2 linked regions of the Drosophila melanogaster genome follow. The protein of the gene in region 2 interacts with the protein of the main gene of each other region in a pairwise test. Each region holds a gene or a part of one and is shown on either strand. Other genes may lie near its edges.

Region 1 (5,197 bases), on a different chromosome or scaffold from region 2:
GCTTGGAGCCATTACATAAATTGGTTCATTGTAAAAACACACTTAACACAAAGCAATTTAAAAAGGCATGTTAATGCACGTCATGTGCCGACACTCGTACTATACTAGACTGTTATATGTACTGCAATAACATTTGAAATAGTAACCATACGGCTCAAGCTTGCATTGAGTTAAACTATTTTGCTGCAGATTGAACGATTTTAGCACCTAATAATAACGAGGCCTCATCTCGAATGATTGGCATGACATAGCGATAGCAGATTGCTAGTTGGCTGGTTCTTTAAGTACTGCCCTGGGCAACGCAGGGTGCAGCGCTCTGGCGCCGAAGTCTCAATTAAAAATCGATTTGGCTTAGAAGACATTTTTGGGAGGGATTACGATCGCGACGCGAGGCCGGTCGTGGTAACCGCTGATCGCCCAGCTCCCATCAAATCGGTTGATCGCCGGTTAAAAGTGGCTGGCTTGCCTTGACCAAGTACACTGCGAACGATGATAAGACGGAGCATGGCTCTGGCCAGGGAAGGTGAACAGGTAAACAGCACTCTGCCGTGGATGCAGACGGGTTTCTGCTAGCGCACGGGCATTTCACTTCGGCCAGCTTCTTTCCCCCATTGACAAATTCGATTGGTTCGGTTTTCTCTGGCTTTCTGCTGCTGCGCCCCGCAATGTAGCGGACTAATATTGGTTTGGTTTTTATTACCATGTGGTCTCTGCTCTGCTCCGCTCCGCTTGCATAATAAAACTCACGCACAAGGAGCGCGGCCAGCCATGGTCTGTATATAGCCGTTCAACGATCGAAGACCGTCGATGGGCCTCAATGAACTCGGGCTCCAGTGCTTCCCATCGCTGCCACTCGATCGCTCTGATCCCTCCGGACTTCAAGTGGACCGGCCGGGAAAATCCATTGGGTTTGCAAAACATGAGAGTTCTGTCTTATCTTACGATTACTGCTACAAATTTAAAGACGCAGTTAAACCTAGTTTCTCAATAGGGCCACACACAGGCCACAAACGTTGGGCTCATTTTGCGCTTGGCACGTTTTGCTCGAAATAATTAAAACGATTTTTGGTTATTTGTAACATTTGCCATTTGCACACAACGGTGTTTACCGCCTCGCCGCAAAAAAGGGAGGCTGAGGCTGCTTTTTTGTGTGTGACAACATTTGACACAATTTAACGCTGACGCGACACATTCGTCTGCGGTTTTAGTTTGCTTAGCTCAGCTCGAGCCGCATGCCTTATGCTTCACTTAAGTTGTTTTGGGATGGGTAAGGTACATAGGTGGAACTAGGGGTAGGGTTTGGCCAGGTGCTTCACATTTGGAGCGCATGCGCTTTGACTTTGCCATTTGCGCACACTCGCAGCATTGCGACACGGCAAACAACAAAGCCCCAAAGGAAACCGAACTAAAACAACCAAAAATATATAAACGAAAACTCAGAAAAATTACGAAGCCCATAACTCTTGACATGACACGGCCAAATGCTCGGGAGAATGGAGTGGGGCTCGGCTTGGAGCTATGGAACTATGGAGCTATGGAGCATCGCGCAAAAAGTGAATTGCTTTAATGCGCCGTGGATGTGCAAAATAAAATTGGTCAAATACCCAGGTCGCAGGCCAAATACCCTAATACCCTTAGGTGGCCTTAGCATACGTAGCTCTTGACTTATAGAACCAACTTCACTGACGAACCAACTGACAATGCTATGTCCGTTGGCTGGGGAGCCGCCAGTTACCATGATCAACCGACACAAAAAATATAGTTTAAAACAAGAAGTCCATGCCATTGTGGCCAAACTGCATATATCATTTCGTCACGTGGGTGCTAAGTGCTAAATTGTATCTCTATCTTTTAGAGATCTCCGCCAGCAAGGTGATAAGGCGTTGGCTGCGGCACCTGTCCGCTCCCGCTCTCTCCCCTTTCTTCGTTACCCTTTCTCCGCCACTGCTTTTACTTTATTCGGCCATTCACTTTCTCCGTATGTTGTTTGCTTTGCTAATTTTGGATTTGCCCGCGTCACTGCAGCAACAGCGAAAAGTGAAACAGACGTCCAGAAAAACGGACGCCAACTTGCGCTTGCAAGTTCGTATGCAAAATTTCAAGAAATTATCCAATCGCGTGGCTCGGATTATTCAATTTCAGTCAATCAAATTCAAGTCCAATTCCGTATGCAAAGTAGGCTATGCTGGTCCGAAAGCAGATCGAAGATCGAGACCGCCTGGCCTCCCCAGCCGATTTCGTCACCAGCTAGTGCTGATGTAGTCCCAGTTCTGGGGGCAGCCAGCCCAACTGAGAGGCAACGACATCGGCCATGCCGAGTTCGTTCGTTACCCAAGTCTTTCGATTATGACGTTGGGAGGAGCTGGAGTCCCCATCAAAGCGACGGGCTATAACGCTAAAACAGTCGACTGATTGCCGTCGTTAAAAATCCACAAAATTGACAGCAAACGGCAGGCGGATTTCTCCTGGCAGTTACCACATACATATGTACATACATTGTAAAATCAGGGGTTATATTTTCATTTGACTCGAAACCTTTGCAAGTTCCGAATAATCCTGCGTTCTCAACCAAGACAAACGGCAAGGAAAGTGGAGGAAGTGCAGATCTCAGGAAACTGCGGATTAGTGACTTATGTGACTTATATGATTCGAGATTGTAATTTGGTTTTATTGCATTTGATTTAGCTGTAATTTATGGATTTTATTTTATGGCGAATGCTAATGGCGCGAAAAGGAAACCAAAAGTAGGCGAAGGTCGCACTGCAGAGTTATTAATTAGTACAACTGAATTTAACTAGTAACTTACCAATTGAAGAACGTTTTTAATAGTTTGGAAATCACAAAACAAAAGAGACAAAAAAATAAGCGCAGGAGAAAACACGCACGTACACACAAACACACACACGTATACTTTTAAATGGCGAGTGTAAGTGAACATACGTTTCGAGCAATTTATTGGACTTCCATCCGTTTTCGGGTAACATTTCGATGCTACTCATTGCCACGACATGCACTTAATTATAACTAACACTTCAAACTGATTTGCAGCACTTTTTTCAAACAAAAGTCCCGTAAATCAAAAATCTTTACGCCGTAAAATAGTTGCTTCTTCTTTAAGAAGAAAAGGAAGAACAAGAAGAGAACTTTGAAATGAGCAGCTTCTTCTTCTTATTATTGATCCTCTTTTCCGTTATGTACAGCACACCCTCGCAAAAAGGCACAAGCTGACGATCTAATTTGGCAAAAGTATTGCAAATACAAATAAGTTAACATTCCAAAGTCAGAAATTAAATGGCAGCTATAAAGAATATAGGTATGAGAATATTACGTTTAAAGATTGTAATAATATTACAAAGATCAAATCTAATCAAATATCAAATATATGAACATTTGCGATGTAAGGTGCATGCCAAATATAAATTTGATAAAATCAACGTAGTTTTAGATTTTATTTAATATAATTTTTAAATATTTTCATTAATCTTAGCTGTTAATTTAATAGTAATAATATCAATTGATAATTCGATAGCCGATAGTCACAGTTGGCCGGCGATGATTGTATCGATAGTATCGAGTGCCAATCGATTGCTGTTACAGCTGTTCGCGCATATGTGTGGGTGGGATTTATTCATAGCAAGGAAAATTACGAGTTTTGCGGATATAGGATTTTACATAAGTTTGCCATGCACACGCACTAGCGCCACAAATCGAGATCGGATTGATCGATCCGGAACTCCGAATATCGGAAGCACAACAAAGAGGACGGCCGACTGCCCCATGTGTGCGTGCGCGAGTGTGTGAGTATGTGCGTGAGCGTGTGCGTGTGCGTGTGAATGAAAAACCATCAACTGTGAAAATATAACCAAAAATAAGTCCGAGGCACACGGTTGCAGGCGAGGATTACCAGTCCTCCCAGATAAGCCCCGGAGGAGCAGCAGGTTCCCTCTTAGAGCCAATTCCGTCGCTTTTCAGAATGGCGGATGCCCAGGCAGCGGCGGCCGGAAAGAAGAAGTACAAGAACAAAAAGAACTCAGCGGAGAAGAACCCCAATCACAATCCAAATTCCAGTGGCCAGGTGGAGGCACAGACACCCAGCAATGGACACGTTCAGCACCAAGAGGAGGAGGCGACGGAAGACCAGGAGCCAGCGCAGGAACTCAGAGGCCTGCTTAAAAAGATGCACCTTTGCAATGGCCATGGTCACAAGGAGCAGGAGGCTCGGCCGCTTGGGGAGGTCGTCAATGGCCATGCACATGGGCACAGCAACAACAATCACATTCGCTGCACAAGCGGCAGCAGCAACAACAACAACAGCACTCACAACAACAACAGCGTGGACAGCAGCAACAACAACCGCAAGCAGCGAAGAGAAGGAGGCGACGGCGGAGGATCGGATTCGAACTCCCTCAAACCGGAGGAGAAGCCCATAACAGCCACAAGCAAAACCACTGCCAACATACACCCAACCACAACGACGGACCCAAAACCAAAAGTGTCGGAGGATGTAGCTGTGGAACAGGGAGTGCATGTGGCGACGGGGAGTGGCCACAGTCGGGAGCAGGAGAGGAAGCAACCGCCCTCCGACTATGCAGAGGGGGCCACGCCCACCATTACAGCACAGCTCCAACTGCCGGAACCTGCCATTTCAGCCGACGAGATCGTATATAAGGAATACGAGGCTGAACACCAAATGCATGTGAGTACCTCCAAGTATGACCAAGTGCGAACTGTGCGCAACACTTATCTAATTCCCCGCATATCGAACACGCAGGACATCATGCGACTGATCCAGGCGGAGCTGTCCGAGCCGTACTCGATATACACGTATCGCTACTTCATCTACAATTGGCCAAAACTCTGCTTCCTCGCCTCGCACGACAATCAGTACGTGGGCGCCATCGTGTGCAAGCTGGATATGCACATGAACGTGCGGCGCGGCTACATCGCCATGCTGGCCGTGCGCAAGGAGTATCGCAAGCTCAAAATCGGCACCACGCTGGTCACCAAGGCCATAGAGGTAGGATGTCTGGGGCATCTTTCCCTTGCAATAAGTTATAAATCGGGTTGCATGTAATCGATGCTCGATATGTGTGTTACGGAACAATTATGTGTTGTTAACTATGGATGAAATTGCCATCAAAGCTCACCAATGGCTCCTCGAGCCTCGAGGTATACTTTCGGGCACATTGGCGAGGGA
Region 2 (5,529 bases):
ACCTAATATTTGAACTAAATATTTGTGGGATACACATTCATCACGTGATAAGGGCTACATATATACAACAGTTACTACTAAATTGAAATTACCCTTTTCTTCCTGTGTAGCAAAACAGTTAATTGACAATTACAATTTACTTTCGCGCTGAGTAAATGCAAATTGTAATGTGCGATAAGATATTTCTGATAGCGCCGTTATATACAAAAAACATAACAATGAATTTCGCAAAGCAGCTGGGCACACTGGTTCACTGGATAGCCTTTCGGGCATATAAACAAATGCGTAAAAGAAATTGGCAAATAAATTAGCGGTTGGAGTGGGTTGCCGTAGCTGTTGCTTGTAGCAGAATAATTGTGACAATGACAAACATAAACAAAGAAAGCGAATATTTATGCGCCTGCACCACCCCCCTCTCACCAACGACAATCCTCCCACACAGGTAAACGGTGCTCTCACGCACGCACTCACGCACACCCACACAAACAGGCACGCGCCGTATACATACACACACGAGGGGAAAAGTTTTCTCTGCTTGTTTTTGCTTACCTGCGCTTATTCTTCAGATTCTTGGCCTGTTTTTGTTGTTCCCGTGCCGCCGCTTCAAACAATATCTGAAGGTGTGTGTGTGTGTGGCGTGTCGTGCTGTTTGTCCGCTGCATTCGTGAGTGGTGCATATGTATGTATGTATGTTTGTTTGTTAGAACTTTTGGCAGGAGAGTGTATCCCATTCATGTGCTGTTGTCGCTCCGGCTTTTACTCTTTTCGCACGTTCGTCTTCCTCGCTTTTTTGCCGCACTCTTCACATTTCTTTTTTCGTTTCTTTTTCCGTTCCCGTTCCACCACCTTCCACTGCTGCTTAACGGACAGAAACTCTCGCGTTTTATGCTACGTGACGCACACGCACACACCGATATACAAATGCCAGTAGTCGACTTGCCAAAACGCAAACACAAACGCTTTCCGCCCACTTTTGTTTCGTTTCGGAGGTGACGGGGGCACACTGATAACACGACGGGATCGACGCTGTGGCGTTTAGTGGGCGGCAAACATATTTTACTAACTTTTAAGCCCCTGCGCGTTCTAGCAATAATTAAAATGTGTGGCAATCGATTGGATGCTTGTGGCAATCGTTATCGTTTCTTGCGGCGCATAGAGATGAGCCAATGGGAGTAGCTAGGGATGGGAAGATTTCCATGCTCTCTGCTTACGTATGCCTATTGTGAATGGACATTTTTAGTGAGAATTTTTAAATGATTTTTAGCAAATTGGTTTTAAATATAATGTGTATGAGCACCATTTTATTTCATTATCAAGCAGATTCGTTTCGCAAGTAATAAAAGTGAGAGTCATCTGCAAGCGATACCGCCTTAAGTAAAATAAGCTGAGGGCATAGGATTTACTATTGGTTCTTTTACAGTTGGGACCTAATCTGGCCATCTGCTTATTTGAAATCTGCGACAGATGTCACTTTTTGCACCTTTGGTGTAGGTAAATTCAAAACCCAATTTTCTTACCTGAAATTTGAAAACCCATTTCAAACTGGGATTTCAAGTATGTTTGGGTTTTATATGACGGGTCTAACCAGGTACCAATTTACCATTAAGACACTTAGATTGTATTACTAATAGTTTTTGGAAAATGAATTCTTTAATTCTATTACTATATTCGGGTAACTACTATTTATTGCAGTAAAGTAACAAAAGTATTTAACCCCAATGTTTTCCTGTTATTGTTATTGGCTAACGATAAGGAATAACATAGTTTTCTTCATATATGTACATATCACGATATATTTATAAAGTTCAGCCACATAACATATTTTAAAATAGTTTTTCATGTCAAAATAGCCGTTATAAAGATTAGGGGTATTCCCCATGGATATGGCCTATCTGGCAGCACCATCAAACAGCTGCTTGCTATCGACTTTACAAAAATAAAAATCGTTTTTTTTTTTTTTGCAATAACGCATCGATTCTGTTTACTTGCGAGAAATATGCAAAATAGCCATCGAAAAGTGCCGCAAAATGTAACAAACACCTAGCTGCAGACCCAAGATGATACCCTGGATGCGGGAGAAGTTCAACGAGAAACGGGCCAAGTGGTTGGCGCGTAGCAAGCGCAGCGGTGGTTCTCCGGCTGACGAAAGCCCTCGGAGCAGCAGTCATAGCCACAGCCAGCGGACAGACGCCAGCGATGCGGAGAGCCTGAGCGGATCCTCGTTGAATGTCCACACGGCGGAATCTGAAACGCAGACGGATGGCGGGATATCCGCTTCCAATTCGCGGCCCCTTGTGGGCGGGGGCAGTTGCGTCCTAAGGACTCCATCGCCCGCTCGCCGACGTCGCATTCACCTTGAGCTACAGCTGCAGCGACGAGAGGAACGTGCTGAGCATCAGAAGGTGGTGCCACAGGACTCGCCCACGCCCACTCACCAACAGCAGGCTAATGCGTAAGTTATCAAACCGAACGAATATGCTTATGTTTTTCAAAGTGCTCACCCGAAACAAATATTTGTCTTTCGAAATTCTCCGTTGGTTTGTCACTACCCATCCAACTAAAACAAACTATGCAAAAACTGCGCAGTTTGTTTCTCAGGTTAGTAATGCTTAGGTATTATGCTAATCTTTTAATTAAGTCCATTCTTAACGGAATCCACTTAGGAAATCAGCCCATACAAATCGCCCAGGTAGCTCTACTTCTGGCGAGGCAGACGATGCCAGCAGGCCAGGTGAATCTATCCTGGTGCGGGTAATCTGCCCCAGCTCTCGGGTTCTTATCTTCAAAACGGACGTTAATAAGCGCCTAAACGAGCTGAAGAGTGAGGTGATTCTGGAACTGAGCGACGATCCCGACTCCATCCAGCTATTTGCCCCAGATGTGCGGCATCTTAATCCGCGATACCGTCTCTATCGGGCGGAATACTTCGGCGGCGAGCTTAACGAGGGCGACACGCTGGCCCAGCTAAAAGTTCGCAACAATGAGACTTTCATACTCTCCCCACGACGCAATACTCTGCCGCAGACTGTTTCACGGATACGTGAGGTTCCTGGCCCAAATGAGCAGCTGGTGGAGAGCGCCACCCGATACGTGCCCGTCAATTGCAACCAGCTGCCCACCATCGATATTAATGAAATCTTTCAGCAGTCGAATGTGAGTACAATTCTTGGCTACTCCTTTGATTATTCTAATCCTATTCCGTTTCCAGATCCAATACGATGTGCGAAAGGTGTTGATCTCTTTGGCTCAAGCTTCTGCGGCGGTTATAGGAGCTGGCCCTTATGCTCCACGCCTGATAGCTATGCTAAAGCAACGTTTGATCAATCGCCGAAATCAGCAAGCGGATACGCTGCAATGCCTCGTGGACATGGGCTTCAAGCGGGAGCTAGCCGCATTTGCCTTAAAAGCACACAATGGCATTTACTCGACCACGATGGAGTGGCTAATACAGAACCAAAACGAGGAAAATCCACAGGAACCGCCGGGCATGAATATGCAGCACAGTCTATCTTCCATCTCACCCTCCACGATTGTCACCAATAATGTAAGTAGGAATTAGATTATCGCTTTTTAATGACAACCGTTTTCTTTTAAAGGAAACCATTGAAAACACTGCTGCCTTGATTGAGATTGTACGAATCTACAGCCACCGGGATTCCCCTCCCAGCGATGAGATTGTGGAATCGCTTACAGAAATGGGCTTCGAGGAGACGGCAGTGCTCGCGGCACTGAAGAAAACTGGCAACAACAAGGCGTCCGCGTGCGAATGGTTGTGCGACAATCGATCGGGTAGCGTTATTGAACTGCGTGAAGGCTTGGCGCCCGATTCGCCCATCCTAAAGGTGATCCTGGAAATGCCACAAGTCCAGATGACCCTAAGCAATCCAAAGACTTTTTTGGGTATGTCCATCTAATTAAGATAGCAACAGTTGAAATCGAAACTAATTGCACATACGTTTACAGCATTTCTGGGCATCCTGGAAAACGAACATGCGATACGCGTGTGGCGTGGCGACAACGACACAACCTCGGTCATCACACATATCCTTCAAAAGTACCATGAGGAGAAGCATGTGCTTGGCATCAATCAGTTCTATACGAACCGCTGGTGAAAGATGCCGCTAAGTGGCTTTACTATGAGATTAACCAAATTATATTTATACATATACATACACAATCACACACCCGAAGTGCATGGCTGTAGCTTGGTCCATTTTGGGGCTCTAATTATACATTGTGTATGTGCCCGTATGTAAAGAGTATTTTTGTAGCCAAAAACCATGAAAGTAAACTGCACAAAGCCAAAAGATGCAATCGCTTCGCCAAGAGCACGCGGCTGCACTCTACAAACGCTTACCGATCAGTACGAATTGCATTTTATACATACATATACATATATATACATACATACACATATATATACATACATACATATATATATATATATATATATATATATAAATATAAAATGTATCTATATCTAGTCAGGCCTTCATCCTACAATTGTATTAGGTTAAACAATAATTACTCTATTCATCTAGTTTGCTAGCTCATCTTCAGCCGAATCTCGCACTACATTTAGAAAATGTCACATACTGCATCCCACAGAAACAACCCATCAGTTTATAAGCGCTCGTACGTGTGGTGATTTAAGTGCGTTGTAATCCCAGGTTGTTTAAACCATCAACTTGAACTCAAAGTATTATTTTGTAAACCAAATATTCAAATTTGCATAGTTTTAACAAAATGCAAATAAATCAATTAGTTTTTGATACAAAACAAAAGAATTAATGTTTCTTTTATATCCAGATTATGTCGGTACTAAGGTGTAAGATGTAACTTTTTATATAGTTTGTAAGATTGGATAAAGTTTTCAATGACGGTCGTCCTCGTGTAGCGAATAGTTATTTTGTGTTTATTGTCGGACTTCTTCTTAAGTCAACAGTAAACCAGTAGTTCCCAAAATTGGGGGATTCTTTGTGTTTATAGCAAATAGATAAGTTGACTACGCATGACTCAAGCTCCTTTGAGTTCACCACGGCGGATGAGTAACATTTACAGACACTTTTAAACAAAATGAATCATCAGTGATAAGTTGGTGTGTACTCATTCGTAATTTAGAGCATATGTAAAGCTAAACATTTTCCATTACTCTTTCTAGTAATTTGTACAAATGGAATTGCTTTGTTGGCAGAGCAATTTGGATCTTTGCTGAATTATTTTGCTATTGCTCTTTTAATGTACAATTACAATTAATTTTCCATGCGGCCGCACATTTTTCATTTCATTATTCCAGCTGCAAACATGAGAGTAAACAAAAACAGTGAACCAAAACTATTCTATTCAATTGTTGCATTCTTTTTTCCACATATAATTAATTGTATTCAGCCTGGACGGGGAAAATAGTTGGATACATTTTAATTTATGTTAAGCGCGTTTATTAAGTGGTTGTTGCAGTGGTTGTGTATCCATGAATAAACTTTTCCTATCTGGTGACTTTTAATTAATATTTGCGCGCAATATTTTTGG

The links.
Region 1: the proteins of Kpc2 (region 2) and CG11409 interact in a two-hybrid assay, tested with the Drosophila melanogaster proteins (one large-scale study listed by BioGRID).

What each region holds. Positions count from the first base shown.
Region 1 is NC_004354.4:1,338,519-1,343,715, forward strand, and holds the start of CG11409 (uncharacterized protein), read right to left. Parts: upstream 3,070-5,197; 5' UTR 2,807-3,069; intron 1-2,806. Other genes in the region: Naa30A (N(alpha)-acetyltransferase 30 A), read left to right, coding at 3,974-4,696, 4,772-5,017.
Region 2 is NT_033778.4:19,668,698-19,674,226, forward strand, and holds Kpc2 (Kip1 ubiquitination-promoting complex subunit 2), read left to right. Parts: upstream 1-1,920; 5' UTR 1,921-2,057; coding exon 2,058-2,452; intron 2,453-2,465; exon of another isoform or gene 2,466-2,569; coding exon of another isoform or gene 2,570-2,586; coding exon 2,587-2,598; intron 2,599-2,663; coding exon 2,664-3,153; intron 3,154-3,208; coding exon 3,209-3,544; intron 3,545-3,596; coding exon 3,597-3,900; intron 3,901-3,963; coding exon 3,964-4,112; 3' UTR 4,113-4,780; downstream 4,781-5,529.